Linked DNA regions of Diceros bicornis minor. The protein of the gene in region 2 interacts with the protein of the main gene of each other region in a pairwise test. Links are inferred from orthologs where the notes say so. Each region holds a gene or a part of one and is shown on either strand. Other genes may lie near its edges. The genes, in order: PHOSPHO2, NAB2 and RFC5.

Region 1 (10,946 bases), on a different chromosome or scaffold from region 2:
ATATCATAAAATTCGCCATTGTAAAGGGTAATATTCAGTGGTTTTTAGTCTATTTACAAAACTGGGCAAGCATTATCACTATCTAATCCAGAACATTTTCATTACCCCAGAAAGGAATCCTGCTAATGACACATTAGCAGTCATTCCCCCCATTCTCCCCTCCCTACAGCCCCGGAGAATCATTAATCTATTTCCTGTGGATTAATCTATTTCTATGGATTTGCCTATTCCAGACATTTCATACAAATGGAATCATAAAATATGTGGCCTTTTATGTTGGCTCCTTTGACTTACATAATATTTTCAAGGTTCATTCACAAAGTAGCATGCATCAGTACTTAATTTTTTTTTTATAGCTGAATACTATTCCATGGTATAGAAGTATCACATTTTGTTGGCATTTGGGTTGTTTCTACCTTTTGGCTATTATGAAAAATGCTATGAACACTCATGTATAAGTTTTTGTGTGGAGACATGTTTTCAATTATCTTAGGTATATACCTAAGAGTAGAAGTATAATTCTATGCTTAGCATTTTGAGGAAGTGCCAAATTGTTTTCCAAAGTGGCTGCACCATTTTAACATTCCCACCAACAATGTGTGAGGGTTCCAATTTCTCCACATCCTAGGCAACATTTGTCTTTTTTTTTTTTTTGGCCATCCTAGCGGGTATGAAGTGGTAAACTGTGGTTTTGCTTTGCATTTCCCTGATGGCTAGTGATACTGACCATCTTTTCATGTGCTTAGTGGCCATTTGCATACGTTCTTTAGAGAAATGTCAGTTCAAATAATTTGTCGATTTTTAAAACGGGTTGTCTTTTTATTATTAAGTTCTAAGAGTTTTTTATAATCTGGATACTAGACCCTTATCAGATATACGATTTGCAAATATTTTCTCCCATTCTGTGGGTCATCTTTGTACTTTCTTGATAATATCCTTTGATACACAATGGTTTTTAATTTTGATGAAGGCCAAATCTATTTTTTTGGGGGGGCTGATTGTGTTTTTTGATGTCATATTTAAGAATTTGTTGCCAAACCCAAGGTCACAAAGATTTACATCTAAGTATTCTTCTAAGAGTTTTATAGTTTTAGCTTTTATATTTAGGTCTACGATCCACTTTGAGTTAATATTTGGATATGGTGTGAGGCAGGGGATCCAACTTCATTCTTTTGCATATGGATATCCAGTTATCCCAACACCATTTGTTGAAAAGACTATTCTTTCCTCATTGCGTTGTCTTGGCACCCTTGTCAAAATCAATTTACTATAGATGTATAGGCTTATTTCATTATTTCTATTCTATTAGTCTATATGTTTATCCTACGCCTGTACCAAACTGTCTTGAGGGCTGTAGCTTTGTAGTAAGTTTGATATTGGCAAGTGTGAGTCCTTCTATTTAGTTCTTCAGATCAAGATTGTTTTGGCTATTCTGGGTCCCTTGCATTTCTATGAGTTTTAGAATCATTTGCCAATTTCCACAAAGAAGCCAGGCAGATTTTAATAGAGATGGCATTGAATCTGTAGATCAGTTTGGGGATTACCACCATCTTAACAACATTAAGTCTCCCAATTAATTAACATGGGATGTCTTTCTATTTATTTAAATCTTTAACTTATTTCAATAATGTTTTGCTATTTTTCAGAGTGTAAGTTTTGCTCATTCCTTTTTCTTAGAAAGAAAAATTTATTCCTAAGTATTTTTGATGCTATTGTATATGGAATTGTTTTCTTAATTTCGTTATCAGATTGTTCATTGCAAGTGTATAGAAACAGAATTGAATTTTGTATGTTGATCATGTATCCTTCAATGTTACTGAACTTTTTTATTAGTTCTAATAGTTGTTTAGTGGATTTTTTTTAGGATTATCCACATAAAATATCATGTCATCTGTGAATATGCATAGTTCTACTTCTTTCTATCCAATCTGGATGCCTTTTGTTTTGCTTGCTTAATTGTCCTGTCTAGAATGTCCAGTACAATGTTAAATAAAAGTGGTGAATATGAGGGGCCAGCCTGGTGGCGCAAGCGGTTAAGTGCGCGCGCTCCGCTGTGGCGGCCTGGGGTTCGCCGGTTCGGATCCCAGGAGCGCAACGACGCACCACTTGTCAAGCCATGCTGTGGCGGCGTCCCATATAAAGTGGAGGAAGATGGGCATGGATGTTAGCCCAGGGCCAGTCTTCCTCAGCAAAAAAAGAGGAGGATTGGCAGATGTTAGCACGAGGCTGATCTTCCTCACACACACACAAAAAAAGTGGTGAAGGTGGGCATCCTTTTCTTGTTCCTGATCTTCAGGGGAAAGTTTTCAGACTTTCACGATTAAGTATGGTGTTGGCTGTGGGTTTTTTATAGATGTCCTTTATTAGGTTAAGAAAATTCCCTTCTATCCATAATTTGTTGTTTTTATCATAAATGGATGTGTATTTTCCAAATGTTTTTTCTGTGTCTATTAAGATGATCATGTGGTTTTGTCCTTTATTCTATTGATATAGAGCATTCAACTATTTTTCAGATGTTAAACCAACCTTGCATTCCTAGGATAAATCCCACTTGGTCATGGTGTATAATTCTTTTTACATTTTGCTAGATTTGGTTTGCTGGTATTTCGTTGAGAATTTCTGCATCTATATTCATAAGGGTATTGGTCTGTAGTTTTCTTTTCTTGTGATATCTTTAATGTTGGTATTAGAGTAATATTGGTCTCAATGAATGAGTTGGGAAGTGTTCCCTTCTCTTCTAATTTTTTTTTTTTTTGAAGAGTTTGTGAATGATTGCTGTTAATACCCCATTAAACTTTTAGCAGAATTCACCAGTGAAGCCGTCTGATTCTGGGTTTTTCTTTGTGGGAAGTTTTTCAATTACTAATTCAATCTCTTGTTAGAGGTCCATTCAAACTTTGTATTTCTTCTGGAGTCAGTTTGAGTAGTTTGTGTCACTTCAGGAATTTTCCCATCTCATCTAGGTTAACTAATTTTTTGGCATACAATTGTTCATAATGTTCCCTCATAATCCTTTTTATTTCTGTAAAGTCAGTAGTGATGTCCCCTCTTTCATTGCTACTTTTAATAATTTGAGTCTTCTCTTTTTCTTAGTCCACCTAATAGTTTGTCAATTTTGTTGATCTTTCCAAATAACCAGTTTCAAGTTGACTGATTTTCTCCACTGCCTTTCTATCCTCTAATTCATGTTTCCTCTCTAATCTTTGTTATTTCCTTCCTTTGCTTGCTTTAGGTTTTCTTTGTTCCTTTTTTAGTTTCTTAACATGTAATGTTAGGTTATTGATTTGAGATCTTTCCCTTTTTTAAAAAAAATACATTGTGATCGTTAATTTTATGTGTCAAGTTGGCTAGACTCTGGTCACCAGTTGTTTGGTCAAACAGTAGTCTAGAAATTGCAGTAAAGGTATTTTTTAGATGCCATTAGTATTTACAATCAATTGGCTTTAAGTAAAGCATAGGCATACCTTGGAGATAATGTGGGTTCAGTTCCAGACTACCGCAATAAAGCAAATATCACAATAAAGTGAGTCACACCAATTTTTTGATTCCCCAGTACATATAAAAGTTATGTTTACACTCTACTGTAGTCTATTAAGTGTGCAATAGCATTATGTTTACAAAAAATGTACATACCTTAATTTAAAAATACTTTATTGCTAAAAAATGCTAACCATCATCTAAGCCTTTAGTGGCTCATCATCTTTTTGCTGGTAGAGTGTCTTGTAAAAAACGCAATATCTGCAAAGTGCAATAAAACGAGGTATGCCTATAGATTACTCTTCATAATGTGGGTGGGCCTCATCCAGTCAGTTGAAGGCCTTAAAAACAAAGGCTGAGGTTTTCCAAAGAAGGAATTTTGCCTCCAGATTGCAACACAGAAATTCTGCCTGAGTTTTCAGCCTTCAGACTCAAGACTGCAACATCAACTCCCCTGAATTTCTAGCCTGCAGCTTGCTCTATGGATTTCTGACTTGCCAGACTCCATAATCAAATAAACAAATTCCCTAAAATCAATCTCAGTCTCTCTCTCTCCCTCCCCCCATATATACATATATATAAATAAAAATACATAAATATACACATAAATATACATAAATAAACCATCCTATTGATTCTATGCCTCTGGAGAACCCCAACTAATACATACATGTATTTACAGTTTCCCTGTAAGCACTGCTTTAGTTGCACCTAAAATGTTGGTATATTGCGTATGCATATCATTCATCTCAAAGTATTTTCTAATTTCCCTTGTGATTTCTTCTTTTTTAAAAAAATTTCATTTATTTATTTTAATTAAGGTACATTTGACATATAACATTATATTAGTTTTAGGCATACAACATAATGATTTATGTAAACATTGTGAAACAATCACCAGGATAAGTCTAGTTAACGTCTGTTACCTTTTATAATTACAAAAAATTTTTTTCTTGTGATGAGGACTTTTAAGATCTACTTGCAGCAACTTTCAAATATGCAATACAGTATAATTAACTACAGTCACCATGCTGTACAGTACACCCCCAGGACTTACTTATTTTATAACTGGAAGTTTGTACCTTTTGACTCCCTTCAGCTCATTTCTCCCACCCTCACCCCCTACCTCTGGCAACCACCAACCTGTTCTCTGTATCTATAAGTTTGGTTTTTTTTCTTTTTAGATTCCACATATAAGTGAGATCATATGTTATTTGTCTTTCTCTGACTTATTTCACTTAGCATATTGTCCTCAGGCAGCTGTGATGTTAAAAAATTGCCACTGATTGTTTCAATAAACATACCTGGTGATTTCTGAGTGAGGTCAAATAACGATAAGCCTTGCAAGTAGGTTTTCCAGGGAACTGCCAGATAGGTCAAATAATAACAGTTATCTGGGAAACGGGCTTTGGAGGGGGTCCAACCCTGTTCTGTCCCCTCCACAGGTTGCTAAGCCACTGGATTTCACTGTGATTGTAGTGGTTTTCTAGATTACCATGGGGCTGGGAGACAAGTATGGGACTGGGGCAAGTTAAAATGCCAAAAATTCACTGCTGTTACCAAGATTCGGCTACTTTATTTGATAAACATTCCCAACTGTTGCAAGCTTTTGTTTAATTTCCTGAGTTCTCAAAAAGTTGATTTTGACAATTTTTGCCAGTCTCTTTCTGATTTAATGGAGGAGAGGACTTCTGGAGACCTGTATTCCACCATTTGGGCTGATGTCACTTCACTAAATCTTTAGATAATTATATGTTTTACAGACAGCTGTCTATATATCTGGACTCCTCTCCTACTTCACCTTCTTGCAAATGGAAATTATAACTCAGCAGTGAGGCTCAGATGGAAACTTGTGGACCAACTGCCACAAAACATTATTTAACACCTATCAGGTAAATCTAAGCCTTTTATGGGGCCTGCCCTTCACCTAATGGTTAGGTTCAGTGTGCTCTGCTTCCTCAGCCCAGGTTCAGTTCCTGGTGCAGACCTATATCACTCGTCAGTGGCCATGCTGTGGCGGTGACCCACATACAAAATAGAGGAAGACTGGCACAGATGTTAGCTCAGGGCGAATCTTCCTCAAGCAAAAAGAGGAAGAGTGGCAACAGATGTTAGCTCAGGGCCAATCTTCCTCACAAAACAAAGAAACAAATAAAAAATAAATACAATAAAATAAAATTTAAAAATCTAAGTCTTTTAGTGCAGACTGCACAGACAGGTAAGTACTGCATAGACAGGAAAGTGAATATGTGGCAGTAATTCTGTTTTTTCAATACATGCCACATGGGTACTGTCTCTCTCCCACATGTCATGACCCTCTGCTACTACTTCCTAAGTCCTCCACCGCATGAACACCCACTAGTGTCCATTGGTGGGATAATGTCTGGCTTTCACTCTGCATCTGGCACAAGGGGCACTACTGATAAAGAAGCTCAGTCAGAGACACAAAGATAGTCCAAATTCCCAAGGTTCTAGTCGTCACCATGACATTAATTGGGAATTTACAGACTTAAGAAATTAAAATCACTGCAATTGATAAAGAGCTCTTTAGATGCCCCACTAGGCTACTTCTATTCCAAAATCAAAGTTTTGTATCAGGTCATCTGAATTACAATACCTTAAGTAGCATTATTTTTTACACTCTATCAAAGCATTAGCCTTAGGGTGAGACCTTACCTTCACTTTAGAAATGAGGAAATTGAGACATTTCCTTCAGAGACTTTCCTAAGAGCACTCAGCAGGTTCACAGCAGAGCCAAGACTCTAATGAGGTCACTGATATTTCCAAAAGTTATTCCCATTCATCTAATGAATAACAAAGCTTAAGAGCGAGAAAATTCAGCCAACACCAGACTCTCGGAGCTGGTTAATTGAGAGTCTCTGACTTATCTTTTCTCCACCCCTGTTTCTGTAAACTTTTCCCATCTACCTATTCACCTGAGGGCAAAGCTGTCTGATTTACGTAGAGCCCAACATGCACGGAGCTGCTTTCGACTTGGTGGAGCCCATTTCCGAAGGTAACCAAAGCCCTCGCTTGGCACCTCGCCTCTCACCCCACGCCCTGTGCCGGGACGGGCCCGTTTAGCTCGCCTGTGCTTTCCTTCGCCTGTCCACAGCGCCTTCCGAACCGCACCAACATCTCTGACGAGGTGCCCACGGCGCTCTCAGAAAAGCGACTCCGACGTGGAGCACAGCGGGCTCAAAGGCGCAGAGTGTTTGCCACACCCCGCAGTTACTTGGCAACGCCGCCGGAAGTGACGGCAGCCGTCGCCGAGGAACGAAGAACGCGCTGCTCTCGGCCGTAGGGTTGGAGAACGGAGGCTGCGCCTGCGCAGGACCCCGAGGCCCGGCGTGCGAGTAGGGTTGCCCTCGCGGGCAGGCGCCGGGGCGAAACCGGAAGACAGAGTAGGCAGGAGTGGCGCGGAGGCCAGCCGGCCTGGGTCCCTGAGGAGCCCTGGGCACCCGAACCGGCCTGCTGCTGCCGTCCTCATCCAACGCTGGCCTCACGGGGGACGACCCCCAACGAGGTCCCTGCACCTACCTTCGGGGCGGACCCGGCAGGTGTGTGGGAGAGCGAGGCCCAGGCTTGGTGTGTGCGGCCCACAGACCTCCTCGCGCGTGGAAGGTGAAGGGCAAAGCCCTCGTTAACTATAGAAACCCATAGATTAACTGACAGAAAACCTGTTTGAAAATACTTGGGTTTCTAAGGCATGGCCTGAGCTAGATGGGGCTTAGTTTTTTAAAAACAGGAATGTTAAAAACTTGGTTGTCCCAGAACATTCATGTTAGGACTTTTAAGATACTTTAAATTGCTTGGTAAATACATTATAGTAAATTGTATTTGGGAGACCAGTCAGACCTCTAAGGACAGAAAAATCTGTTAAGAGTGGATGCAGGCTTGGTTTCAAAGAATCCTTTTCTAACACATTGAGGTACAAATGATTTCATTACAAGCTAGTTGGCTAGGACATGGCACCAAATTGGAGTTGCTCAAAATGAAAGGAAGTTTAGATTTTTAATCACTAAAGTGATTTTTAATCATTAATACATAGTTGTACTGTTTTTCTTCAGGTTTTCTGTCAGATGTTCCACCGTAATAATGCTGGTAAGTATGAAAGGATTAATAAAATATTTGTTGACAGAAATTAGTTTTTGCACGTACAACATTGGTGGCACTGTGGAAGCATAGTTTTAAAAATATCCAGAACTGGGATGAGTCAGCGATTTTACCCCAGTTGCAAGCTAACAGTTTAGTCTGCCACAGTTTTGTAGACGACACAGACCCCTAGGTCAGAGATGAATTACAGCAGTAGCAGTAGCCAGAATATCAGCAATTTTGCCCCAGTTCCCACAGGATGATGCAAAGAGTGCCAGAAGTGACCTGCACGTGGAGTGTGTTGCATTACAGGACAGGAACCTGAGCTTAAGGGACTCAAATCTTTATTATAATGGACGATAAGCATGCCTTTCAGGCTGTTCACTATACATACATTTTTGAGACAATAATCCAGAGCAAATGGCAGTGACTGCCTTGCTTGTAAGACATACAGAACCACTAGAAACCCATGGGGAATTACCTCCTAACAAAAATTCTTTGGAATTTTAACTAAATTGGTTATGAAAAATATTAACTCTTATAAGATTTGATGTCAGTAATTTGCCAGTTTGACATGGTGGTCAGATATCATTTGATTTCCAACACCTGGTTCTAACTCTAACCTATGTTTCTTTACAGCCACACCATCTAGAGTTAGTTATTTATCCTTCCACAACCTCTACTCCTTTTTTTTTTTCTGTGTTGTGCAATTAAGAAGGTGGCATATGCACTTTGATCTGAAACAGAGTTTAAATTATTCTGGGGAAGGGCCTGGCCCCGTGGTGTAGTGGTTAAGTTCGGCAAGCTCTGCTTCGGCTCTTGGGTTCAGGTTCGGATCTCGGGCGCTGACCTACACCACTCATCAGCCATGCTGTGGCAGCAACCCACATATAAAGTGGAGGAAGACTGGCACAGATGTTAACTCAGGGCTAATCTTCCTCAAGCAAAAAAAATATATATATAGAAGATTGGCAACAGATATTAGCTCAGGGCTAATCTTCTAAAGCAAAAAAAAAAAAAAATTATTCTGGGGAAAATATTTTTATTACAAAATCAGTGTAGAAAAAAAATGCACTACAATTGAACCACCCATGATCCTACCACTGTAGAAATTTATTTTTTAAAAGCAGAAATGGGATTATACTGTACACACTGTTTTGTGACTTGCTTGTTTAATTTGAACTGGACATCTTAGCTTTTACTGGCTAAATAAATATTCCATTATATAGCTCTCACATACATGTCTTATTTAACCAATCCCCAAATCTTGGATGTCTATCAAGTTTCTAGTTTACATTATTGTAAAAAGCACATATGCTATTGTTAGACTATGGAAACATTGCAGACATACCAAATATATACTGCTTGTGCTTTTGGAGAGAATAGTTAATAACTATTTTGAAATTTTAACAAACTGGTTTCAAAATAGATTCATATTCTTAAAATTAAATCTTTATGCACATCCTTAATTTTTGGAGACATTTTTATTTCAAGTATAGCACTAAATATTTGAAAGTTTATTGACAACAGAAGGTGGTATTTGTCTATTATTTAACAAGTAAAAAGAAAAATGGAATCTGGAAATCTCGACATAATCAGCCTAACACTTGTGATTTTATCCACTGGACAAAAACTTACATTCACGTAACATTCCCTGTTTTGTATTTAAGCTTTTTGTTTAATCAAAATTTTGTGTGTCCCATTGCCAGTAAGTGCTTTTCTGATGTAAGAGAAAATATAATTTTCTACATAATTACAAAACATAAATCTTAAAATATCTTAAATACTTCTATTAATTTTAGGAGTTAAGAAGTCTCTATTCCTTTGCTCCAAACCAGAAGACTTTGTTCCCTGATACAGAGTAGGAGCAATGTTGGTTAGAAACTGGCTGGTGTTTAAAACTGAAGACTGTCATGACTATTTAACCTAGGCTCTATGCTGAAGTAAGATTAATTGTCTTGGAAATACTAAGTTGGGTAAGTATTCTTAATAAAAGCTTATGTTGAGGGGTGAGAAAAAACTAATAGAAAAAGATCTGAAATTAAGAAATGTACACTTTTAGATAGAAATTAATAGTCAACAGTGGAACTATGTTAACTTCTGGCTTACAACATTTCTCATTATTTTGAGATTCATAGTTCAGGAATTTCAGTAAATTGTGGTTAATTAAATCTAGGCTTGAGGTAGTTTCAGTCACCAGAGTTACATTTGAAATTTTTTTTTAAAATTATGTATAAATTCAGAATGCTAAAAAAAGCATGTTTAATTTAAAATGTGCCTAGGTACAGTACTAATATGATTGTCAACTATGCCTTATTGCTGTTTATTATATTGTTTCTATGGGAAAGTGAATTCTGCACTTAAATCTTTGGGAGCCAGCCAGAAACACCTGGATTAGACATTTAGAGGTACAAGGATCCAGAGCATCAAAATATTATAGACTGTCTAAATTCACACAACATGAGATTCACACAACATGAGATACTCTCTCGGTTAGTTGTTCTCCAGAGATTCTCAACTGAGAGACTCAGAATACTTGCCTTTATATGAGTCATGAGCTCTATTCTCAATTTCATCTACTGGATATCTGTTGTTACAAACCAGAGAATACATGTGGTTAAATGCCATGTTTTCCATTTTTAATTGATTTCTTTTCTTATTGGTAGGGTTCTTCACTTTTTTTTTAGGATTTCTTGCTAAATGCTCACAATAGGTATAAAGTAGATCACAGATGTGGTATTATGGTTAGTGTGTACTTTAAGACTAATAAATGTTTTCATGTAATGAAACATCTTTTCGTCAAAATGACCTTAGTATTTTATTTTTAAACTGATTAATAGTCTTTAAATATTCTATTTCTTAGGCTCTAGAGCGTGATACTTAAAAGCATGAACTTTGGAGTCAAGCAGACCTGAGTCCAAATTCCAGCTCTGCCACTTAACTAATACTTAACCACTTTAATCCTTAAGCTCCAGTTTACGTATCTTTAAGATGAGAATAATAATTCCTACTTAATAGAGTTATGACAGTTAGATGATGAGATTGTAAAGTTCTTAGTCCAGTGCCTGTGTATAGTGATAGCTCTAAAAATATTAATTACTCTTTTTAAAAAAATTTTTTTGTTTACACACACAAATTGTAGCTTTTTCTGGGTATTCTGTATAATTATCTTTTTTACGTGATAACTTTCGTCCATACCATCTGTTGACTAGTTTATTCTTGCCTTTTCTCTTGAGATTTATAATTAACGACCTTCATTATCTTTTAATGAAAGCAGAGATTTAAGTAATTGTCATATCATAAGTAATGTGATTACTCACATATGTCCAGATTATTGGGCACTCCAGAGCTAAACTATCTAGCGAAAATATAAA
Region 2 (10,077 bases):
TTCTTGTCTTTGGGGCATAGTAAATGTTTAAAACAGATATACAATGTATATTCAACAAGACATGTCAGGCCCTTTTGGAAAAACAAGATCAGGCTGAATTAGTTTTAAACCAAATGGCTTCCTCATATACTCCAATATATCCCATTGCTTTTCATTTATTTATCAGTATATACACATACACACACACATTTTCTACCAGGCCCCAAATTCTCACCATTCAGAGCTCGCTCTTTGGTTGTGAATAAAGGCCAGAGAACAGGAGAACTAATTCCAGGTTTGGAAACTAATTCCAGAAGATCACTGGCTGTTAAAATATGTAAACGAGGTATAGATAATAAGACTGGCTGTCCCATTAAACTTTACCATCCAAATGAGTTCTGTCACTTCGAGATAGTCACTCAAGAAGCTTTTAGCCTTGTTTTAATAACGAGGACACTGCTCAAAACACTTTGAGAATCATCTTCAGAGTCTATAGCACACACTGCAATGAATATTCATTATCTGCAGGTGGCTCTGATTTATGCAAATAGCCAAAGAACTCAGGCCAAGACTGATGAGTAAATAGGGTGGGAAATCTGGATATAAATGTTTCAGAATTTTTTTGGATTTTAGAAACATATACGGTGCATATACATATACAATACATAAGGCAACAGTCCCAGTGGGGTCTGGGACAGCAACCGTAATCAAACAAATTAATATTTCTGCAATGAGATATATGAATATTCACATTGGGATAAACAAAAGTGGGATAAATGAAACTATAAATAATGAAAGTTTAGGAGGTCTGCCACAAAATAAGTTCAGGTCAGATTAGGTTTTGTTGTCAAATGAGTTATGAAAAACTTTTGGTTTTCATTCGTTTTAATTTAGGAAAAGGATTACAGATGGTGAATATTTAATGAAGACACTCCATGTACTCAGTCACTCAAGCTAGAAGTCCAGGAGTCACCCTAAGCTCTTCTCTTCCCCCAACCCCTCAGCCAATCATCACGTCCTATTGATTTTACTTTCTGACTACCTTTTGAATCTATCCTCTCCTCTCCATCCCATGCCAGACATTTAGTCTAGCACCTTGCCATATCTCACTTGGGCCACTTTAGTTTCCTTCAAGCTGGCCTCCCTGCTGTTTTTTGCAGCCATAAACCCCTTCCTCCACACTATAGTAAATGCAGACCTGGCCATGTCACTCCCAGGTTATAAAGCCTTTATGGTTCCCCAAAAATCTCCTGTGATGAAGTCCAAGGTCTTTAGTATGATCTAAAACATAGATGTAAAGAAACAACTACAACAGCGCTATTCAAAGTTTATTACCAATCTGCAATGAAACAATTTCAGAAATTTAAGTGTAAACATTTAGAAACTTTTACAGCAATTTGACAAAAATATTTATTGAATCTAATAAAAATAGGGATTTTATTTCATTGTTCGATAATTCACTTTTAGTGTATTTTATAGAAGTATAGACTATAGACTGGAAATTTTTTTTAATTGGTCCTTTCTTATAGTTTGAGAAGCACTAGTCTATAATATCCTTAATTCAATGGCCTTGTCCACTTCCCTGGGCTCGTTTTTAACTACTGCCACCCCCCATCCAGCAATAATGAACAATTTCTAGTTTCTCAAAGATATCGTTCTGTTTCATACCTCCATGTAAGTTTATATTCTGCTGACTTGACTGTCCCTTCCTCCTGGAAATCTCCTATCCATACTCCAAAATCCTAGGCTGCAACATTACAGTCCCTCACAACCCCGTACAGAAGACATCACTTGTCCCCTATACTTCGGTCAGTGTTTGTACCCTTATTATTGTCCTACGTTGTAATTATTTGTTTATATGTCTATCTCCCCTACTAGTCTATGAGTTCCTTAAAGGCAGAAGTTAGGATTATCAGTCTTTGAGGGGTGAAGCATCACCCCTTGTAAAATGACTAAATTGAATGACAATGTTCCTTAGATTATAATTCTTACATGTTACTAAAAGAGGAAAAAAGGATCATTACTTTATATTCATATATTTCTGTTTCTAGCAAGGATTTCAGCCGTCTACCTTTAGTACCTGAGTATGAATTAATTTATCAGAAGAGTGGACATTTTAGAAGGGCAAGGAGCCAGACCTGTGAGACTGGAAACTTGAAGAAGGAAGGAGGCATGGAAAAATACCTCCACTTACACAGTTTTGCCCAGGTTCAGCCCCTTTTGAGTAAAATCTGTCAATTGCCCTTTTCAAAGTTGCTCAGGCCTGGAAATAGCATCATCAACTCATTAATTTCAGAGGGCCCACGAGACACCAGACCTACCCTGGAGAGGTCCTGGGCTGAGGGCGAAACAAGCAACTATGCGTTATTGAAATGTGTACAAAGAACCGTGAGGCAACTGAAGGATGGGAGCAATTAATTCTGCCTAGAGGGGTGCAGGCAGCACAGCGTGCAGGCAGGAGAGGGTCCAGGAAGGTGATATTGGAGCCAGAGCTTGCTGAGTGAGCTGGATTAGGCCTGGTGAAAACCTGGGGGGGGTGCGGGGGGGGGGGGTGAGCAGTGCAATCTGCTAGATGAAAAGCTACCCGTGCCTAGGAATCACAATCCTTCTGGTTAGCAGTTTCCTCACTCCTCTTCCACCCACTTTCTTCACAATCTTTTCCCCTGTTCTTGGAAAACTGGGACTCAGGATACTGTTTCCCTTCCTGGAAGAGACCAGTGTAGGCAATAAACCTTTGATGAAACGGATCCGTTGCTCTGCTCTGCGTGCCCCTGACCTCACTGAGGTGGGCGGACAGCAGGTGAGTCTCCTAAGAAAGTGGTCCTAACCTATACTGGAGGGAATGGGAACCATGAAGAAAAGGAGAGGAAATTAAGATTTTTGTATTCGTCCCACCCCTACTGTCATCCCCCCACCCCGCCCCCAACCTGTCTCTTATCTTTGTGTTTTTCTACAGTTTCTCATGGTCTCCGTGTCTTCGTCTCAGTCTCTCTCCATTTGCTAAAAGCTGGAAATTCCTTGTTCTCAACGGAAGGGAGTAGGAGGGGACTTGGGGGTGGTAGGAGTGGGAGGGAAGCGAAGAACAGACATCTCAGCAGCTGCGGGGGCGCTCTCGGCCTCTGGCGGGGCTTGACAAGTCAATGATTTTTTAAATGTATGTATTTTTAAATCCACACATAGGAGCTCACATACAAACCTAAAGCAAGACGGAGACACAGATACACAAGTAGATTTAAAGACATATAAATACATAATCTCAGGGTACAGAGGCACAAACTGGCAATAGCGTCTTCAATTTGCTTAGAATTTTCCAATTTACAGAGTTTTCGTATACATCCTCTCATCTGAACCTCAACCCTGAGAAACAGGGATACAAACACTAGGGAGTTTCACTCACACACACAGGTTCGCACTCAGAAAAATCCCTTCTGACTCCCCTAGGGGAGTGGGCAGAAACAGTCCGCGGGATTTTTCTCCCCTCTTCCCTCTCTGGCCGAATACCCGCCCTAGAACCGAGGAGTGGAAGCCCCAGAATCGGCCCCTCCCTCGTCATCTTTCCTGGGCCGGGACCCAGGCGCTCGGCGCCTAGTTGGTTACCGCCCCCCTGCTTCACGCCCTACTCCGCCCTCTTCCCGGGCCTGCGTCTCTCTCCGGACCCAGGGGCTCAGCGCTGCCCCACGGGGGTCTGGGTGGGAGGGAGGGGGGCGCCTGGAGCACAGGCTGCGTGGGCGAAGGATGTGCGTCACGGGGAGCGTGGGCAGGAGGAGGGAGGAGGCACGTGGAAACCCGGGCCAGCGGCTGGCAACCCAGGCTCCAAAATAACCAGAGGGGAGTGGGGGAGGGGGTGCCCACACATATCGGAGGGGATCTGGGAGTGAGCCCGTCTAGCCGTGCCCTCCAGTTGGACAACAGGGGATTGAAAGGGGGCACTCGGCGCGTTCCTATCACCCTCCACTGTGCTTGAGGCTTAATGGGATGGAGAAGAGAATCTTAGCTACCTAAATCCCCCTATGTGGTGCACCCGTCCCCGCCCCCCCCCCCCCCGTGACGGAAAGGTCCCCTCGCCCGGCTGGAATGTAGAACCAGCCCCGCCCACGCCACCCACGCCCTGCCGGGCCCGGGCCACTCAGACGTGCGGAATGGCGGGGCGGGGCTGGGGTGTCGGACTTGGGGGAACCTTGCTTCTGGCCAGTCCGCTCGCTTCCAGTCGGCCCTCTCCCCCACCTCCTTTCCCCGGGGCCTAAAGCCACTGGGACGGGCCCTCAGAGCCCCCGCCTGTCCCCACCCTCTAGCCCTCCCAGCCGTGGGCGGGAGTGTAATGGGAACCAGATGGGGCTAGGAGAAACAAAGGGGGGAGGGGTAGTGGGTGGCGGCGACGGGGGGCGCGGTGGCCAGGCTCCTTGAAGGAGCGCCTCCCTCCAACTCCTCCGTATGGAGCCACGTCGGACGCTCCCGGCCTCCTGCCCATCGTCCACTAGACTCTCTCGGGCAAAGTCCCCTAATAAGACGTCCCCAAAAGGGGAGCCTCCTTATCCCAGCTTTCCCACACAGAATTCCCCAGGAGCAGGTCCCCACTCTCAGCAAATAGGGTGCGACGAGTAGAGGAAGGCGGATACCCCTCCCATCCCTGCCTGGCCTAATCGCTAACAAACCCCGACGCGCCTCATCAGCGTGCGTCTAAGTGGTAGCTTTTAGCATAACCCGCCCAATCCTGTTCCCCGAACTTCGGCGTGGACTCGAGGCAGAGATGGAGGCGGCCTGGATTTCCGAGAACTGGCCTTTCCAAACTATTCTTTTTGGGGCTGGGATATCTGAGGGATTCCCGCAGAGCCCCACGCTCACAGACCAGCCATAAGTGCCCACTCTATGGGAGTCAGATGCACGCACGGGAGGAGCCGCGCACCCGTCTCCGCCAACTTTTCCCGGCTCACTCCTAACATTCCCACGTACAGCCCGCGAGGCCTGAGTATGGGCAGCGGGCGTCCGCGTAGTTGTTGATGCGCGTGTGCACGTCCGTGCGCTTCTCTGTGTCTTTGTGTACCTGTGCGTGGTTGTGAAACTCCACTTGGAGGGGTAGGGGTGGTGGGGGGAGTAGGAATGTCGCCGGCTGGGCGCTCACGTGGTTACGTGGGCGCGGAGAGGGCCGGCTGTGCATCCGGCGTGGGCGGCACGGAGCGACCTCGCCCCGCCCGCTGGGTCCCCAAGCCCGCCTTCCACAGCCTGGCCTCGTTCACCCCAGTCCCCAACTCGGCGCCCCGGCTCCGCGTCCCCGCCCCCGCCTCCTGCTCCACACCCCCTCCCCCCAGTCTCCGCCTCTCGCCGTCTCAGCCGCGGCGTCTCCCCGGCCGGCCGAGAGGCCCGGGCGCCCGCCCCCCGCCCCCGGCCCCCGCCCCCGGCTCTGCCCACGCCCTCCGCCCGCCCGGCAGCCAGCGCAGCGCCGGGCCTCGCTCCCCGTGCGTCCTGCGGGGGCGGAGGCGCGGAGAGGCGGCAAGCGCAGCCGGGGAGGGGGGGGCAGAGGCACAGACAGAGGCGCGGAGGCTCGCAGAGAGGAGACGTGGAGGCAGGGACGGAGCCCGGACAGCGGTGGACACGGCATCGCGCGCCGGGAGGAGCGCAGCGCGCACCAGGCGCCGGGCACCGAGAGGGGCGGCCCCGGTGGTCTCCAGCCTTCCATGCACAGAGCGCCCTCCCCCGCAGCCGAGCCAGGCGGAGGGGACAGCGCCCGCCGGACCCCGCAGCCCAGACTCAAGTTAGTGGGCAAAGGGAGACGGCGGAGAGTGGAGATGGGTGGAGCTGGACTCGGGAAAGGGGTCTGGAGGGCGGAGGTCGAGGAGAGGACCAGGGGAAGCGGGACGGGGGTGGGAGGTGGAGACTGATGGAAAAGGGGGTGCGTCTTCGAATTCGGGGCCCTGGGAGCAGGCAGGGATCTGATGAAGCTGGATATGAAAGAATAGTACCTCATTCTCCATCCCCCGTTTACTCTGTGGGTATGACCTAGCATGTGAGCTGAGCCCCCTGCAAAGAACGTGGGGGCTCCCCAGCGCCAGGGGAAGCCCTGGAGCTCTAGCTGGCAGCAGTGCCGGGGAGGGCCACTCAGCTGGCTCAGTCTGTCGTTGGCACGGAGCGCGCGGGCCGGGGTCCGGGAGAAGCCGGCGCCTCTGAGCCAAGAGAGCATCAGCGGGGCCGTGGAGAAGCAGGGGATGCCTTAGGTGTTCCTTCCCATTTCTGTGCGTTTATTTGCAGCCTGGGGAGGGGAGTTTCGGTCTGCAGCCCCTCCCGCAGTAAGTTTTGAGCCATTCCCCCACTCCACTTGAAAATGCAGATGGAAAATGAAGAGAGGAGGGTGGGCGGGAGCCCCCGGGCGGTTTTCGCCCACAGACGCCAACACCGTGGGAGTGAGTGTGGGCAGAACGGGCCCCAGAGCAGAACAATTGAGGCACTCCTCCCCTCCCCCGGGCGGAGCTCCACTGAGCAGGTGGGGAAGGTCACTGCTGGGAGAAGGGCCAACTGAGGGGCACTGGGCAGTCTGGAAGGGAGGGGCGAGGTCCCCAGGGAGAGAGCAAGAGTGCGCTAAGAATGCCTAATTCGTGAGAAAAGCTGAGGGGAGGGGAGCAGGGGTGCACCCTCACTGAGTGGGAAAGGGCAGAGAAAGGGCCACACACCCCCCTTTCAACCACAGGGTCAGGATGCCACCAGAGAGTGAAGCTGGCCAGCAGTGGTCCCAGGTGTCCACTGTGGAGAGGACAGGGGTCCTGCATTCACCTTAGTGTGGGACGTCACCTTGAGTAAGGTTGAGACTGCTGGGTGTTGAGCGTGGAAGATGAGAACTATGTTCTGCAGGAGAGTGCGGTCCAGCCTTCACAGGGGTGTGCTGGCTGGCCTCAGGGCTCAAGGTCTCCTTGCCCCAGGCCAGAAAAGTAAAAGCTGAGGATGGGGATCAAGAGCCTTTGATTTCTGCAGAGACTGGGCCGGTTTTTGGTCCTTCTGGCCAGTCGGATGGCACTGGCACGTCTGTGCCTCTGGGCAGTGCCTGATTCTCAGACTGCTCAGGCCTGGGCGCTGGGCAGAGACAGCATTCAAGAGAGAGGGCAGAGAAGCAGGCAGGAAAGAGGATAATTGTGAGTGTGGGTTGGTACGGAGCAGGGGGCCTTGCACTGACTGCCCCCCCCTTCTTGTGCACCTCCTTCTCAGGCCCAGTGCCCGAGCCATGGCACTGCCTCGGACGCTGGGGGAGCTGCAGCTGTACCGGGTTCTGCAGCGCGCCAATCTGCTTTCCTACTACGAGACCTTCATCCAGCAGGGAGGGGACGACGTGCAGCAACTGTGCGAGGCGGGTGAGGAGGAGTTCCTGGAGATCATGGCACTCGTGGGCATGGCCACCAAGCCCCTCCACGTTCGACGCTTGCAGAAGGCACTGAGAGAGTGGGCCACCAATCCAGGGCTCTTCAGCCAACCAGTGCCTGCTGTGCCTGTTTCCAGCATCCCACTCTTCAAGATCTCTGAGACTGCGGGCACCCGGAAAGGGAGCATGAGCAATGGGCACGGCAGCCCAGGAGAAAAGGCGGGCAGTGCCCGCAGTTTTAGTCCCAAGAGCCCCCTTGAACTTGGAGAGAAGCTGTCACCACTGCCTGGGGGACCTGGGGCAGGGGACCCCCGGATCTGGCCAGGCCGGAGCACCCCTGAGTCCGACGTTGGGGCGGGAGGCGAAGAGGAGGCTAGCTCACCCCCCTTCTCCCCACCTGCAGGGGGAGGAGTCCCTGAGGGGACTGGGGCTGGGGGGCTGGCAGCAGCTGGGGCTGGGGCTGGTCCAGATCGACTGGAGCCAGAGATGGTACGCATGGTGGTGGAGAGTGTGGAGAGGATCTTCCGGAGTTTCCCGAGGGGGGATGCTGGGGAGGTCACGTCCCTGCTGAAGCTGAACAAGAAGCTGGCGCGGAGCGTAGGGCACATCTTTGAGATGGACGACAATGACAGCCAGAAGGAGGAGGAAATCCGCAAGTACAGCATCATCTATGGCCGCTTCGACTCCAAGCGGCGCGAGGGCAAGCAGCTCAGCCTGCATGAGGTAAGGACCCCAGCCTGCCAGGATTGCCCTTAGCTCCCAGGCCTCAGTCTGCTCACTCTGAGAATCTTCACACTCCCCAAGTCCATTTCATTGTTCCTTGACCAGGACCCCAGGCTCTGATCCCCTCCCCCACACACCCCTTCCCCAGCCACTATAGTGCTGTCCTCTTCAGCTGAGGGGGAAGCAGAGACACAGACAGCAGCCCAGCTGTCCAGCTCCGTGCTGCTCAAGACCCCACAGGAGTCGAGGAGGCCCCTGGCATTCCTAGGAAGCTGTGGGTGCTGATCTCTTGTCTTTCTGCCTCACAAAGCTCCTGTGTAGTGTGAAAACCCAAGCTAGGATCTGATGGATGGGCCTCATTTGTCTGATGGTGAAGGGGTGTGAGGAGGTCTGAGCCAGGCAGTGGGGGAGTTGGGAATCTGACTGCTCTGATGGCTCTCTCCACAGCTAACCATCAATGAGGCTGCTGCCCAGTTCTGCATGAGGGACAACACGCTTTTACTGCGGAGGGTGGAGCTCTTCTCCCTGTCGCGCCAAGTGGCCCGAGAGAGCACCTACCTGTCCTCCTTGAAGGGCTCCAGGTGAGACCCCCTTTTCCAGGTCTTTCCTAGATGAGAATCCTGCCAAGGAGCAGGTCACGTTCTGACCTCTAGTCCAGGTGCCTGCTTCCCACCCACCTGCATGTCCTCCCTTTGGCCAAGTCCACTTGTCTGAGGTCTGGCCCCTCTTCCTCTCCATCTCAGGTCCCCTCTGACCCGCCCCTGCCACAGCAGTAGTACCTGAGCTGGAGACTCCTGCGCAGCCAGTTTCTTTCCAGAGCCTTGAAATGATGCATGCCCTTCCCCAGATTCTGTGCCCTGCCTATCATGTGTCCCTCTCCAGCCTCATCCTCCTTATTCCTCTCCATCTTTGCAGACTCCACCCAGAAGAATTGGGAGGCCCCCCACTGAAGAAGCTGAAACAGGAGGTAGGTTTTCCAGGGCGCGTGTAGTGGGTTAGGGCGGCTTCCCCAACGCCGTCCCTTGCCAGGTCCTCATTTCCCCATTCGGGGCATCCGCAGGTTGGAGAGCAAAGTCACTCTGAAATCCAGCAGCCTCCCCCAGGCCCCGAGTCCTATGCACCCCCATACCGCCCCAGCCTGGAGGAAGACAGTGCCAGCCTTTCTGGGGAGAGTCTAGATGGACACTTGCAGGGTGAGTGTGCAAAAGAACACTTCTGTCCTCACTGGGGGGCGGAGGGGGTGGGAGGAGGGAGCCAGGAGGCAACTGCCTGGAACAGGGATGGGAGGCCTGGCTGGATGGGAGCAAAAGGGCCTGGGCCTATGGGTCTGCCTATGCGGTTGAGGGTGGGGGTTCCCTTGACGGTAGTCCCTTACCTGACCCGTGCCCATGCCCACAGCTGTGGGGTCATGCCCAAGGCTGACGCCGCCCCCTGCTGACCTGCCTCTGGCATTGCCAGCCCATGGGCTGTGGAGCCGCCACATCCTGCAGCAGACACTGATGGATGAGGGGCTGCGGCTAGCCCGCCTCGTCTCCCACGACCGCGTGGGCCGCCTCAGCCCCTGTGTGCCTGCGAAGCCGCCTCTCGCAGGTGAGGCAGCCAGCAGTGCTGTCCCCAAGCACCCCTGCCACCCAGGCCCCACACAGCAATCCTGGTGTCCTGGGGCCGGGTGGGAGGAAGAAGGACATAGTCACCAGAGAGGGCAGTAGGATAGTCGGGTTCCAGCCTTAGGTTGAGGAGAGGAGGACCCTGCAGGGCTGTTCCCACTGGGGAGAGTCTGACCCTAATGGAAACCTGTGAAGGGAGCAGAGGGACAGAAAATGGGAGACAAAGGGGAACAGGAAGGAGGTTCACCAGGAAGGGAAGCTTGCATGGAACTTCTACCATTGTAGGAGGTGCAGCAGGCTAGGATTTGGGGTGCAGTTGTCCAGCTTGGAAGTGGAGGAGCCCGAAGGGGGATGCTTTGTGTGTGGATGGGAACAGGGGGAGTAGGCTGGCAGAGGGCCGGGCAGCGGCTGGGCTGAGAGTGACGC
Region 3 (10,957 bases), on a different chromosome or scaffold from region 2:
GGCCTGTTACTACTGTGACAGAATAATGTGATTGATAAAGTAACTGGACTTATTTTCTACTGTAGACTCATCACAAAAGACTAAGGGTTGGGTTTCCCAAGCAATTAAGCCTCAGGGTCCTGGGGTGCTGGGTTTGCCTGGCTCTGGGGAGCCTGGATGCCTAGGAACTTTGAGACCTGGAGTTGAATTATCAAAATGCTAGGCCCTTAGAGAGGAGGAGGTGGGAATGTTGTGTGAGAGACGAGTGGCCCAACTCCCTGAAGAATTCCACACTAGAGATGCAGAACAGGGGTGAGGAGCAAGATGCTGGGATAGAGAGACATTCTGTGGTATTGAGGGCTTATCAACTGAAATGTGCAGTCGAATTGCCTGGAGACCTTGTTAAAATGCTGTTCTGATTCAGGAGGTCTGGAGTGGGTCCAGAGACTCTGCATTTCTAACAAGTTCCCAAGTAGCAGGGACCATGCTATTGGTCCCTGGACCTCACTTTAAGTAGTCGGGGGTGAGGAGGAGTAGGTGGAAGAACGTGGAACGAGGGCCACACAGAAGTCTAAGCCTCAAACTTTGTGGCACTGGGAGCCATGACAGAAGTTCTGGGTGGCTGAGTTGTACACTGAGAAAAGGACGCTATTATCAACAGAGCTGCCCATCTTCAAAGGGATCATGTCAGTCTGTACAAAGAGCATCTACTCCCACAGAAGGAACTGAAGACTAAAAGCCCTTCCCCACATTTGCTGGCCTATTTCCCCGCAAACTCTTAGGCTTCTTTCTTTTTCTTTTCTTTTTTTGAGGAAGATTGGCCCTGCACTAACATCTATTACTAGTCTTCCTCTTTTTTTTTTTCTTTTTTCTTCCCAAAGACCCAGTACATAGTTGTGTATCATAGTTGTAGAATCGCAGCTCTTCTATGTGGGACGCCTCCTCAGCAGGGCTTGATGAGTGGTGAGTGGGTCCACGCCCAGGATCCGAACCGGCGAACCCCGGGCCTCCAAAGTGGAATGCAAGAACCTAACCGCTACGCCACCGGGCCGGCCCCTTAGGCTTCTTGAATGATCCTACGGAAGGGAAGGAACTCAACTCCCAACCCTCAATAGATTGAGTTTCCAAACTACTTTGGCTTGAAGAAGGAATGGTGGAGGACCTTGAGCCAGATATATTTAATTTAGAAAAATTAAGAAACGTGAGGGCCAGCCCCGTGGCTTAGCGGTTAAGCGCGCGCGCTCCGCTGCTGGCGGCCCGGGTCGGATCCGGGCGCGCACCGATGCACCGCGGCCACGTCCCACATACAGCAACTAGAAGGATGTGCAACTATGACGTACAACTATCTACTGGGGCTTTGGGGGGAAAATAAATAAATAAAAAAGATTAAAAAAAAAAAAAAGAAACGTGAAATTTTTTGAGCCCAAGTGTCATGGAGCAAATTCATATGAGTTAGCCTTTGAATCTGAAACTTAAAGAGAATCAGATTCAAGAACTGATAAATAACCATTCATTAGTTATTTAATCAACAAATGTGAAGGGATGATGAATGGATTTCCCTAAGCCCCGATGCGGGGCATTTTTGGGATTCTGACAAAAGAAAGTGTTTGAAGGGGAGAAGTACCCCAAAAGATCTGGAGATTTAAATTCCTTATCAGTCAATGATTTTGCCATGGCCACCAAAGAAGATGGCCCTTTCCCTTATAAACACTCTTCAAGTTGCCCTTTGAGATTTTTCTCCTCCTTCACATGCTTGCTCTTCATTTAAACATGATTTCACCAGTATAAACACGTTCAGGAGAAAGACCCAGTCTGATTTTCTTCTGCCAGCATCTTCCAAAGATAGCCTCACATCCCATTCTCTCATAAGAACAAGTCTTAAAAATAAACGAAGGCAGTAAGTGCTGTGTCCAAAGCCAAGTTTGTTCCAAAGCTGAGAGTAATAAAATCCAGGGCTCCCCTTCCCTAATTCAATTTTAAGATCCAATGCCTTTTGTTGGTAATTTTGTCTGTAACCTCTGATCCTGCCATCTTCAAGACCTGATGTTTTATTAAAGCATTTCCAAATCTGGTTCGGACTGTATAAGAAAAGTTTGTGCCTGCGCTCATCAATGTCACAAGTCACAAGGAAATGCCAGCTTGATTTGTCCTCAATCCTCCAGAAGGGCTAAAATCCAGGCAGAAGATGAGGATAACAAGGAATTATTACATCTTTTGCCTGATCATCTGTCCTTGAGAAATCAAGTCATAAAGTGATCCTACCGTGATCACTTGGCCAGGAGTTTTTTAAATTAGTTGCCATTGTTTAACATACAGGAATTGCACATAAAAATCCAAATTTCTGGTTTCTCTTGAAAAATCAGAAGATCTGGCAACATTTGGCTACTGTCCCTTCTGATTGAACACTCTTGTAGTGGACATGTGTGATCCTTTCGGCTGTCAGCATCTGAGCCCCCATCCTAAGTTTAGGGATGTCCCAGGTCACAAGTCCTGGTGGGAGGAAGACGTCATTTCCCACCATTCAAGCTGTAGACTGGTACGCGCTAGCAGGTGACCCAGGCCTGGCCAATTAGGCATGCTCTTAATGGAGCACTAGTTTTAGGAAGAATCCAGTACAGGAGAGAACTGGCAAATTCCTTCTCACAGTAGAAACGGTGAAACCAACACTCGGTTTCTAGGAGTAGTAGCACGGAAAGGTCGGCAGCAGCAGTTTCCTTACTGGATGGTTCCATGGAGTAATTCTGACCATGGTTTCAGTTCCATGGCCTGTCTTTGTCCCATTTTCCAAACCAGGTTCTCCAGCCTTCCTACTAATTATGAGCTATCCAATATTTCGTCGCTACATTCCTTTTCTGCTTAAATCTTCCATCTACAAACTCCGCCCCCTCGAGGCAGGGCATAATTTCCACCGAACCCTCTTCCTTTATATATTAACTTTCAGACTATTTATAGACATATGAGCCTGTAACTCCAGGCTTTATCTCTCGCTTTCTCTTTAAAGTAACAGAACTTTGGCACTGGGAGAGAAGCTAAGGACCATCTAGCGCAAGGCTCTGCAAAGTAACGAGAAAAGCGTCCCAGAGGCGCCTCCCCCCCACCATTACCCCTCACATCTCATTGGGCAGAACTGGGTCACATGCTCACCCTTTAAGCCAATCAGGGGACTAGGGTTGCTGTGATTGGCTTCGTCCAGGACAGTAGTTAAACTTTCGCTGAATGTTAGAATCACCTGGGAAGCTTTTTAAAATGCCAGTGCCCGGTCCCACCCCACAGGCCAAATTTAATTTGTCTGGCTGGACTTCTGGCATTGGACTTGTTTAAAATCCTCAGGTGCTTTTAATGCCATCCCTCTCTCTAGTCAAGCCCCGTGCCCCTGCCCATTTTAGAAGTGCCAATACTGAGGTCCAAAGAGATATTAAGTAACTTGCCCAAAGGACTATACCTTCAATTAATAGCAAAAACAGAAACAAACAAAACCACACGCATACAAATGACATTTAATAGGACACCTTTGTTTTTCCAGAAAAATGCATGTGAGTATCCTTTCTTTTTCTTAGAAAGTGAAGTCATAGGGAGCTCACGGATTGAGAAGCAGTAGAGGGTAGGACAGTGGTTCTCAAACTTGAGCGCATCAGAATCCCCTGGAGGGCTTGTTACAACACAGATGACTGGGCCCACCCCCAGAGTTTCAGATTCAATGGGTTTGGGGTGGGGAGAAGAATAATTAACATTTCTAACAAGTTCCCAGGGGCTGCTGCTGCTGGTGCAGGGACCACACTAGCACTGGGCTAAGAGCTTGGGCTATAGAATCACACTGTCTTGATAAGATCCAGTTCTGTCCCTTACACCAAGTCAGAATGTGGGCAAGTTACCTAATATATCTATGAAATGGGGCCAGTGATATAGCTTGGAACTATCGCAACAATTGAGTGAGTATAATAAATGTAAAGGACTTACAACAGTGTCTGGCCCATAGTAGCTGCCTAATGAATAGTAGCTATTATCATTCACTCATTCATGGAAGACTTATTGAGTGCTTCCTTTGAGCCAGGCAGTATTCCAGACACCAGGAGTCCAGTGGTGAATAAGTGAAAGCCTCACCTCTCAATGAGGTTACAGTCCGTGGGGGAGGCACACAATAGACGAACTTGTAAATATATAATATAATGTCCCACAGAAGAATTCTGCATTGCCCGCAAACTGAACAGCAGGTGCACACAGAGTTTTATGAGAACTTGGTCCAGTCTGTTCATATCTTCTAGCTCAAGGAGGTGGCAACATCATGTTTCTAATGCAAAGGCCCCTTAGCAGGATGGCTCTTACCAGGGTAGTTGAATAAAGCCCAGGTAATGGCATTTTTAGTCAGGGTTCTCCAGAGAAACAGAACCAATAGAATATATAGATACACAAAATTTATATTTATACTTATATTTATGTAGATTTTAAAATATATTTTATATTATGTATTATACAATAAATATATATTATATTAATAATATATTTATATAATAAATATATATTTAATATTTTTAATATATTTTATATATTCATATTTGTATAGATATTTATATAAGGTGTATATATCATAGGAATTGGCTCACGGAATTATGGAGGCTGAGCAGTCCCATGATCTGCCATCTTCAAGCTGAAGACCCAGGAAAGCTGGTGGTATAATTCAGTCTGAATCCAGATGACTGGAAATCAAGAGTGCCGATGTTCGATGTTCAAAGGCAGGAGAAGATGGATGTCTCAGCTCCAAAAGGGAGCAAATTCACCCTTCCTCTGCCTTTTTGTTCTATTCAGGACCTCAATGGATTGGATGGTGCCCACCGGCATTGATGAGGGGGATCTCCTTTGCTCGGTCTACCAATTCAAATGCCAATCTCTTCCAGAAAGACCCTTAGGGACACACCTCCAAAAATAATATTTTACCATCTCTCTGGGCATCCCTTAGCCCGGTCAAGTTGACACATAAAATTAACCCTCACAGGCATAGTCACACCAGCCAATTCTTTAGATTTTGTTTGGGAGGGAACATTTGGAACAAGAACAGGATGGTGGAGAGTATGTTCGAAGGGAAGGAGAGAGTGAGGTGGCAGTGCATTGGAAGCTTTACGTATGTTATTTCATTTCATCCTCACAACCATCTTGGAGCAGATGTTATTGGATGAGGAGAGAAGTAACCCGCCCAAGGCTGGGGGGGGGGGGGGGAAGAGGCATGCTAAGGATCTGAAAAACGAGTGTCGGAGTTGGCCTGGGAGGAAGCAGAGAATAGGGCACTGTCATACCACAAGCCACATCTCACCTCCTTCTTCTCGGTCCCCAGGCAGGGGCTAGGGTGAAGCCATAACTGCCCTCATGTATTTCCCCAGTGTCCCTCTACTCTGTTCCTAAAGCAGGTGACAGTGATAATAATAAGACGCAAGGAGCTGCGACTTCTGAATCAGAACACTTCTGACCCCAAGGCAGCCTCATCTCCTCCCAGTATTGTTGTCTTTCCCAACATGTTAAAAAACAAAAACAAAAACTTTATTATGGATGTAACACACACTCATTGCCGGGAAACACAGATCAGCCAAATAGGAGAAAATAAAGTGGTCTATAATCCCCTCACCTCAGAAAAACACTAGGATTTTGAGACCGATGCTCCTCAGTATCTTCAGATCCGAGGGACGCGTCCTCTGTGCTTATTAACTAGCGCTTTCCGGTTACCGTATTAACCTAACTGGAAGTTTATTTTTTGTTTTCACTCTGGAGTTGTTTCTGGAGGATGGTTCTCTACATTTTGTTGGGTGAGGGACGCGGATTTGGGAGACGGATTGGAGTTGCGTTTGTTTGGAGTTGTTTTTGAATTCGAATTACTACCAGGTTGGGGGCCAAAAGGTATTGTGAGCCTTTTCTTCAAACGGGCATCCATCTTCAAGTATTGGCCGTGTCATTTGGGGTTGTTTTTTCCTAAGGATTCTTTAGCGCTGGCAGCTTTCTGTTCCTTTGAACGGTGTTTGAACTTTGGTGATGGCTGGACTGGGCTTCGGCCGTGAGACTTTAATTTGTGATGACTGGCGGCTGCAGGGGGTGGCCTCGCCTCGCCCCCTCTCCCTGGGCTCGGGAAGCCCCTTGGCGCGGCAGAGAGGGCAGCACCGGCTAGAAGGGCGGAGCCGGAGGGAGGGTGGCGGCCGGCGCCTCCCGGTAACCTGGCAACCTGCGCCTTAGCAACGGAAAGGGGGCGGGACCAAGGGAGGAAGTCGGAAGCAGGCGGCTAACTCTCGCGAGAGTTACGTTTGCGCGCGAACTCTGTTAGGGTCCCTGCGCTGGATCGCGCTGGTCGCTGAGCAGGTCCCTTGGGGGTCGCGACGACCCCAGCGGACCTGGTCACCCTCGTCTCCCCGCCATGGAGACCTCCGTACACAAGCAGCAGCAGCAGCAGCAGCCCGCGGCGGCCAAGATCAGGAACCTGCCCTGGTAGGAGGCCCGGCTGCCGGGAAAGGGGCTGGGCCGCGCGGGGAGGCGGTGGCCCAGCTGGGCAAGTGGCCGGGCCCGCTGCCCCCGGACCTGCGGCCGGGGCGGAGCCACAGAGGTTCATCTCGACACCCCACCCCGCTCCGTTCTATTTAGGACTTTTGCCGGGTTCCCCACCCACCGATTCCTTTGCCCGAAGAGGAAAGCGGCTTTCGCACGCATCTGCACAAGGGGTCGATCCCGCGTCTTTTGACATTGCATTGGCCTCTGTGCCAAAACGTCATTCCCTCTTGCCAAAATCTTAAGTAAAATAATGATGATAATAATAATAACGCTCCCTAGTTAACTTATTTAAACGGCTTTCTATTAGATTAGCAGGCACCCTATTAGATGTTTGATCTTTACAAAGACCATGGGAGGTAGATACTGTCATTATTCCAGTTTTACACTTGAGGAAACTGTGTCTTAAAGATTAAATGCCTTGGCTGAGGTCCAGAGCTAGAAAATAGGCTTGGGTTTGAACCCAGGAGGTCTGGATTCAGAGCTTGCACTCTTAACCATCCTACTTCCATAGCTATCCTAGTGATGCTTTAAAGACTTGGATGGGATTTGGCTTGCTGTCGGAAAACTCCAAGTTGTTCTTGTCTAATAACGAGTTCAGTTTGTTTTTATCGTGGTTAAAACACATAACATACAATTTACAGTTGTAACCATTTTAAAGTGTACAATTCAATTGCATAAAGTTGTGCAACCATCCCAATATCTCAATTTCAAAAATTTTCATCATCCCAAATGGAAACCCCATACCCATTGACAGTCACTCCCCATTCCTCCCTCCCTTAGCGCCTCCTGGCAACCACTAATCTGCTTTCTGTCTCTATGGATTTGCCTATTCTGGACGTTTCCTATAAATTGAATCATATAATATATGGCCTTTTGTAACTAACTGGCTTCTTTGACTCAGCATAATGTTTTCACTGTCCATCATATGGATATACTACCATTTATTTATTCATTCATCTGTTGATGTATATTTGGGTACAAGTTCAATTTTGAATTCACTTTGAAATAATAGTTGCCCATCCAGGTTGAGATTATAGGCAGACAGCTGGAAAGGTGAAATTAGAAATTACTGACATTTTGGGCCAGATACTTTGTCGGGGGGAGGGCATCGGGGCTGTCCTGTGCATTGTAGGATGTTTAGCAACGTCCCTGGGGCCTATCCACTAGATGCCAGGAGCATCCACCCAGTTGTGACAATGGAAAATGTCTCTAGATATTGCCAAATGTTCCCTGGAGGATAAAATCACCCCTGGTTGAGAACCACTGGTTTAAATTCAAACCTAAAGGGTTTTATTCCTCTTCCTCTTTTAGTGAGGATATGAAAGGATTCTTTTGCACATACCAAAATGTTCTTTAATTTATGTATGTTGTAATCCTTGCTAAATTGTATTTTAGGGTTGAGAAATACCGGCCGCAGACACTGAATGATCTTATTTCTCATCAGGACATTTTGAGTACCAGTAAGTATCCAGGTGACAGCTGCTGTTATTCTAGCCGAAGGACCTGTATACATTTCCTGGTGATGTTGTCTCTACTGAGTAATAACTGTGAAGAATCTGATTGAGCTTTATGGAATGTGGCTTTAAAACTTGAGTCCTTAAGGGGCTGGCCTGTGGCGCAGCGGTTAAGTTCGTGTGTCACATTCCCCTTGGCGGCTGGCATTGCTGGTTCGGATCCTGGGCGCGGACCTACTCACTGCTCATCAAGCCATGCTGAGGCAGCGTCCCACATAGAGAGAGCTACAACTCGACAACTGTGATATACAACTATGTACTGGGGCTTTGGGGAGAAAAAAGAAAAAGAGGAAAGTTGGCAACAGATGTTAGAGCAGGGCCAATCTTCCTCAAAAGAAAAGAATTGAGTGCTTCCCATTTTTCATTCCTGCACCTGCCTCTGGTTTGAACATAGGGCTGAAGTGCATTCAGCCCAACTCGTAGGGCCCACAGTGAATGAGGCAACTCGCAGAGACTGACGGTGTTTCTTTTTCTTCCCAATCCTCAGTTCACAAATTTATCAGTGAAGATCGGCTGCCGCACCTGCTTCTCTATGGTCCTCCAGGGACAGGAAAGACGTCCACCATCCTAGCCTGTGCTAAACAGCTGTACAAAGAGAAAGAATTCGGCTCCATGGTCTTAGAGGTAAATAACAAGATTATTCTTAGTCTATCAAGGACGCCAGCCTCTTACTTTTAGTTCTGCTAGTTTCCTTTTACTTTAAAAGTCATTTGCCCTACTGGCAGTTGGGAAAGAAGCAGACATAACATAAGATATTTCAGTTCACTTTTTTCTATAATTGTCTGGATTGGCATTAGCGACAGGGCAGTTGTAGGGCTAGGCTTTGTTTTTTATTTTTCTTTTTTTTGCTGTTGCCACCTTTTACCCAAACACTTGGTGGTCTGTCAGTTGCTGGCTGTTTCCCATGTGCGCCTCCCGGTAGCTTCTCCACGTCTCTCCGCCCTGTCCTTGCCCCGGGCAGCTGAGCTGTGTTGACTACAAGCTCCCTTGCCCGCTGGCTCCTGGTTGGGTTTGGCCAGTAGAGGCCTTGGCAGGGGTCAGGGGAAGGAGACTAATGCCGGGTCCTGCCCTGGGGGTCACTACAGGCTGGCGGCATCCCCACCTGCAGGGCGCATCACACAGCCCTCCCCAGGTGCCAATATCAGTCCTGCCCCTGACCCCATAAGACCTGGGGGTGGTAATGGGCCCCAGTAGTCCCTGAGGTATCACATAGCCCTTGTGGTTTCCCCACACCCCACCAACACCTTTTAAAATATCTCTTCCTGGGCCGGCCTGATGGCATAGTGGTTAAGTTCAGTTGCTCCGCTTCGGCAGCTGGGGGTTCGCAGGTTCGGATCCCAGTCGCGCACCAACGCACCGCTTGTCAAGCCATGCTGTGGCGGCGTCTCACGTAAAGTAGAGGAAGATGGGCGCAGATGTTAGCCCAGGGCCAGTCTTCCTCAGCAAAAAGAGGAGGATTGGCATCGGATGTTACCTCAAGGCTAATCTTCCTCACACAAAAAAATAAATAAAATGAAATATCTCTGCCTTTAATTCTCTCCAAATTACTTAATTTGGTTAGGCCATCTGTTTACTTCTGGGACCTCGACTGATACACTTAGATTACAAAATTCTAAAGATTGTCTCGCAAGAAAAAAAAGTTTAACTTATTTTTTTCATATAGACCTTAGAATCTTGCTGCCACCAACATTCTTACTTCCATGTCTTAAAAACTTGGTAACTTCCGGGTTGCTCTGGGTTGTGGTAGCTAAAGTTAGCATCATTCTCATACCAGAGGTGCTGTTCAGTGTGACCAGGCCAATTAATTATTCCTTCAGTTTATGTCAGTGATTGTCCTCAAAAGGGGGAGAAAAAAAAAGTTGTTTGCCTTCTAGAATGTTATGTAATGGTCTAGTGAGTTATGAGTTTTAAATATAATTGTGATCTTTTTTTTTGTGTGTGTGTGAGGAAGATCGGCCCTGAGCTAACATCTGCCAATCCTCCTCTTTTTTGCTGAGGAAGACTGGCCCTGGGCTAACATCCATGCCCATCTTCCTCTACTTTATATGGGACGCCGCCACAGCATGGCTGGACAAGTGGTGCGTCGGTGCACGCCCGGGATCCGAACTGGCGGCCCTGGCCGCCACAGCAGAGCCCGCGCACTTAACCGCTTGCGCCACGGGGCCGGCCCCTGTTTTTTTTTAATAGTGATTATCTGTTAGCTGTCATTAAACCTAGAGACCTAGCTTACTGAGCTAGATTGATGAAAGGATACATTAATACGTAGATAGCACACCAACATGTTTTTTATTTATTCTGGCTTCTCTCTCCCACATTTAGCTGAATGCTTCAGATGACCGAGGAATCGATATCGTTCGGGGACCAGTCCTGAGCTTTGCTAGCACAAGGACAATATTTAAGTAAGAATTATTTGCATAATTTCTCTCCCTAGAGATTTTGATCATGAGCTGGATAGACCTTTTTTTAATCCTCCCCTTTGCCAGTTAAAGGTAAAAAAAAAAAATAACTTTGTCAAAAGCAGCCATGAAAAAGAAATAAATTGCAGGGAAGGTAGTAAGAAATACTAAAATGTAAGTATTAAAATAAGATATTATCTAAACCTATATTAGCAAGTTCTTTGGGGAAGCATTAATTTCATTTTATTAGTTAACTGAGGACTGATTACAGTCTAAGACTGGATGAGCTAGTTTGAATTTAAACAAAAATGAATTGAGATTGGGACAGATAATTAGGACGGTGGGGGAAAAAAAGAAAGAAAAAGATGAAAAAGGCATGAGGGAAGGTGATGGAAAAAAGCAGCACTGAGTAATAGGCTACTATGCAGAAGAAAAATGAAGGTGCCTGAGGATACAGCGTAACAAAAATACAGAAGTTAGACTTCAGTTCCCTTTAAGAGTTGAAGGAGTGATGGGGTGTCTCCTGTCTGGGTGACCACACATGTC

Evidence for each region.
Region 1: the proteins of NAB2 (region 2) and PHOSPHO2 interact in binary tests that used the Homo sapiens proteins (3 or more experiments, as listed by UniProt). The two-hybrid records come from large-scale screens. The link is inferred for Diceros bicornis minor from reciprocal best matches to the Homo sapiens genes NAB2 and PHOSPHO2.
Region 3: the proteins of NAB2 (region 2) and RFC5 interact in binary tests that used the Homo sapiens proteins (3 or more experiments, as listed by UniProt). The link is inferred for Diceros bicornis minor from reciprocal best matches to the Homo sapiens genes NAB2 and RFC5.

Annotation. Positions count from the first base shown.
Region 1 is NC_080749.1:51,308,206-51,319,151, forward strand, and holds the start of PHOSPHO2 (pyridoxal phosphate phosphatase PHOSPHO2), read left to right. Parts: upstream 1-6,967; 5' UTR 6,968-7,037; exon of another isoform or gene 7,038-7,101; intron 7,102-7,547; 5' UTR 7,548-7,581; intron 7,582-9,374; 5' UTR 9,375-9,548; intron 9,549-10,946. Other genes in the region: CFAP210 (cilia- and flagella- associated protein 210), read right to left, coding at 6,567-6,674, 6,736-6,967. UniProt on the Homo sapiens protein: Phosphatase that has high activity toward pyridoxal 5'-phosphate (PLP).
Region 2 is NC_080756.1:11,802,596-11,812,672, reverse strand, and holds the start of NAB2 (NGFI-A-binding protein 2), read left to right. Parts: upstream 1-5,439; 5' UTR 5,440-5,651; coding exon 5,652-5,728; intron 5,729-7,170; coding exon 7,171-8,044; intron 8,045-8,491; coding exon 8,492-8,625; intron 8,626-8,959; coding exon 8,960-9,011; intron 9,012-9,104; coding exon 9,105-9,237; intron 9,238-9,442; coding exon 9,443-9,634; intron 9,635-10,077. UniProt on the Homo sapiens protein: Acts as a transcriptional repressor for zinc finger transcription factors EGR1 and EGR2. Isoform 2 lacks repression ability.
Region 3 is NC_080774.1:15,030,234-15,041,190, forward strand, and holds the start of RFC5 (replication factor C subunit 5), read left to right. Parts: upstream 1-6,280; 5' UTR 6,281-6,370; coding exon 6,371-6,441; intron 6,442-7,896; coding exon 7,897-7,961; intron 7,962-8,502; coding exon 8,503-8,639; intron 8,640-10,334; coding exon 10,335-10,414; intron 10,415-10,957. UniProt on the Homo sapiens protein: Subunit of the replication factor C (RFC) complex which acts during elongation of primed DNA templates by DNA polymerases delta and epsilon, and is necessary for ATP-dependent loading of proliferating cell nuclear antigen (PCNA) onto primed DNA.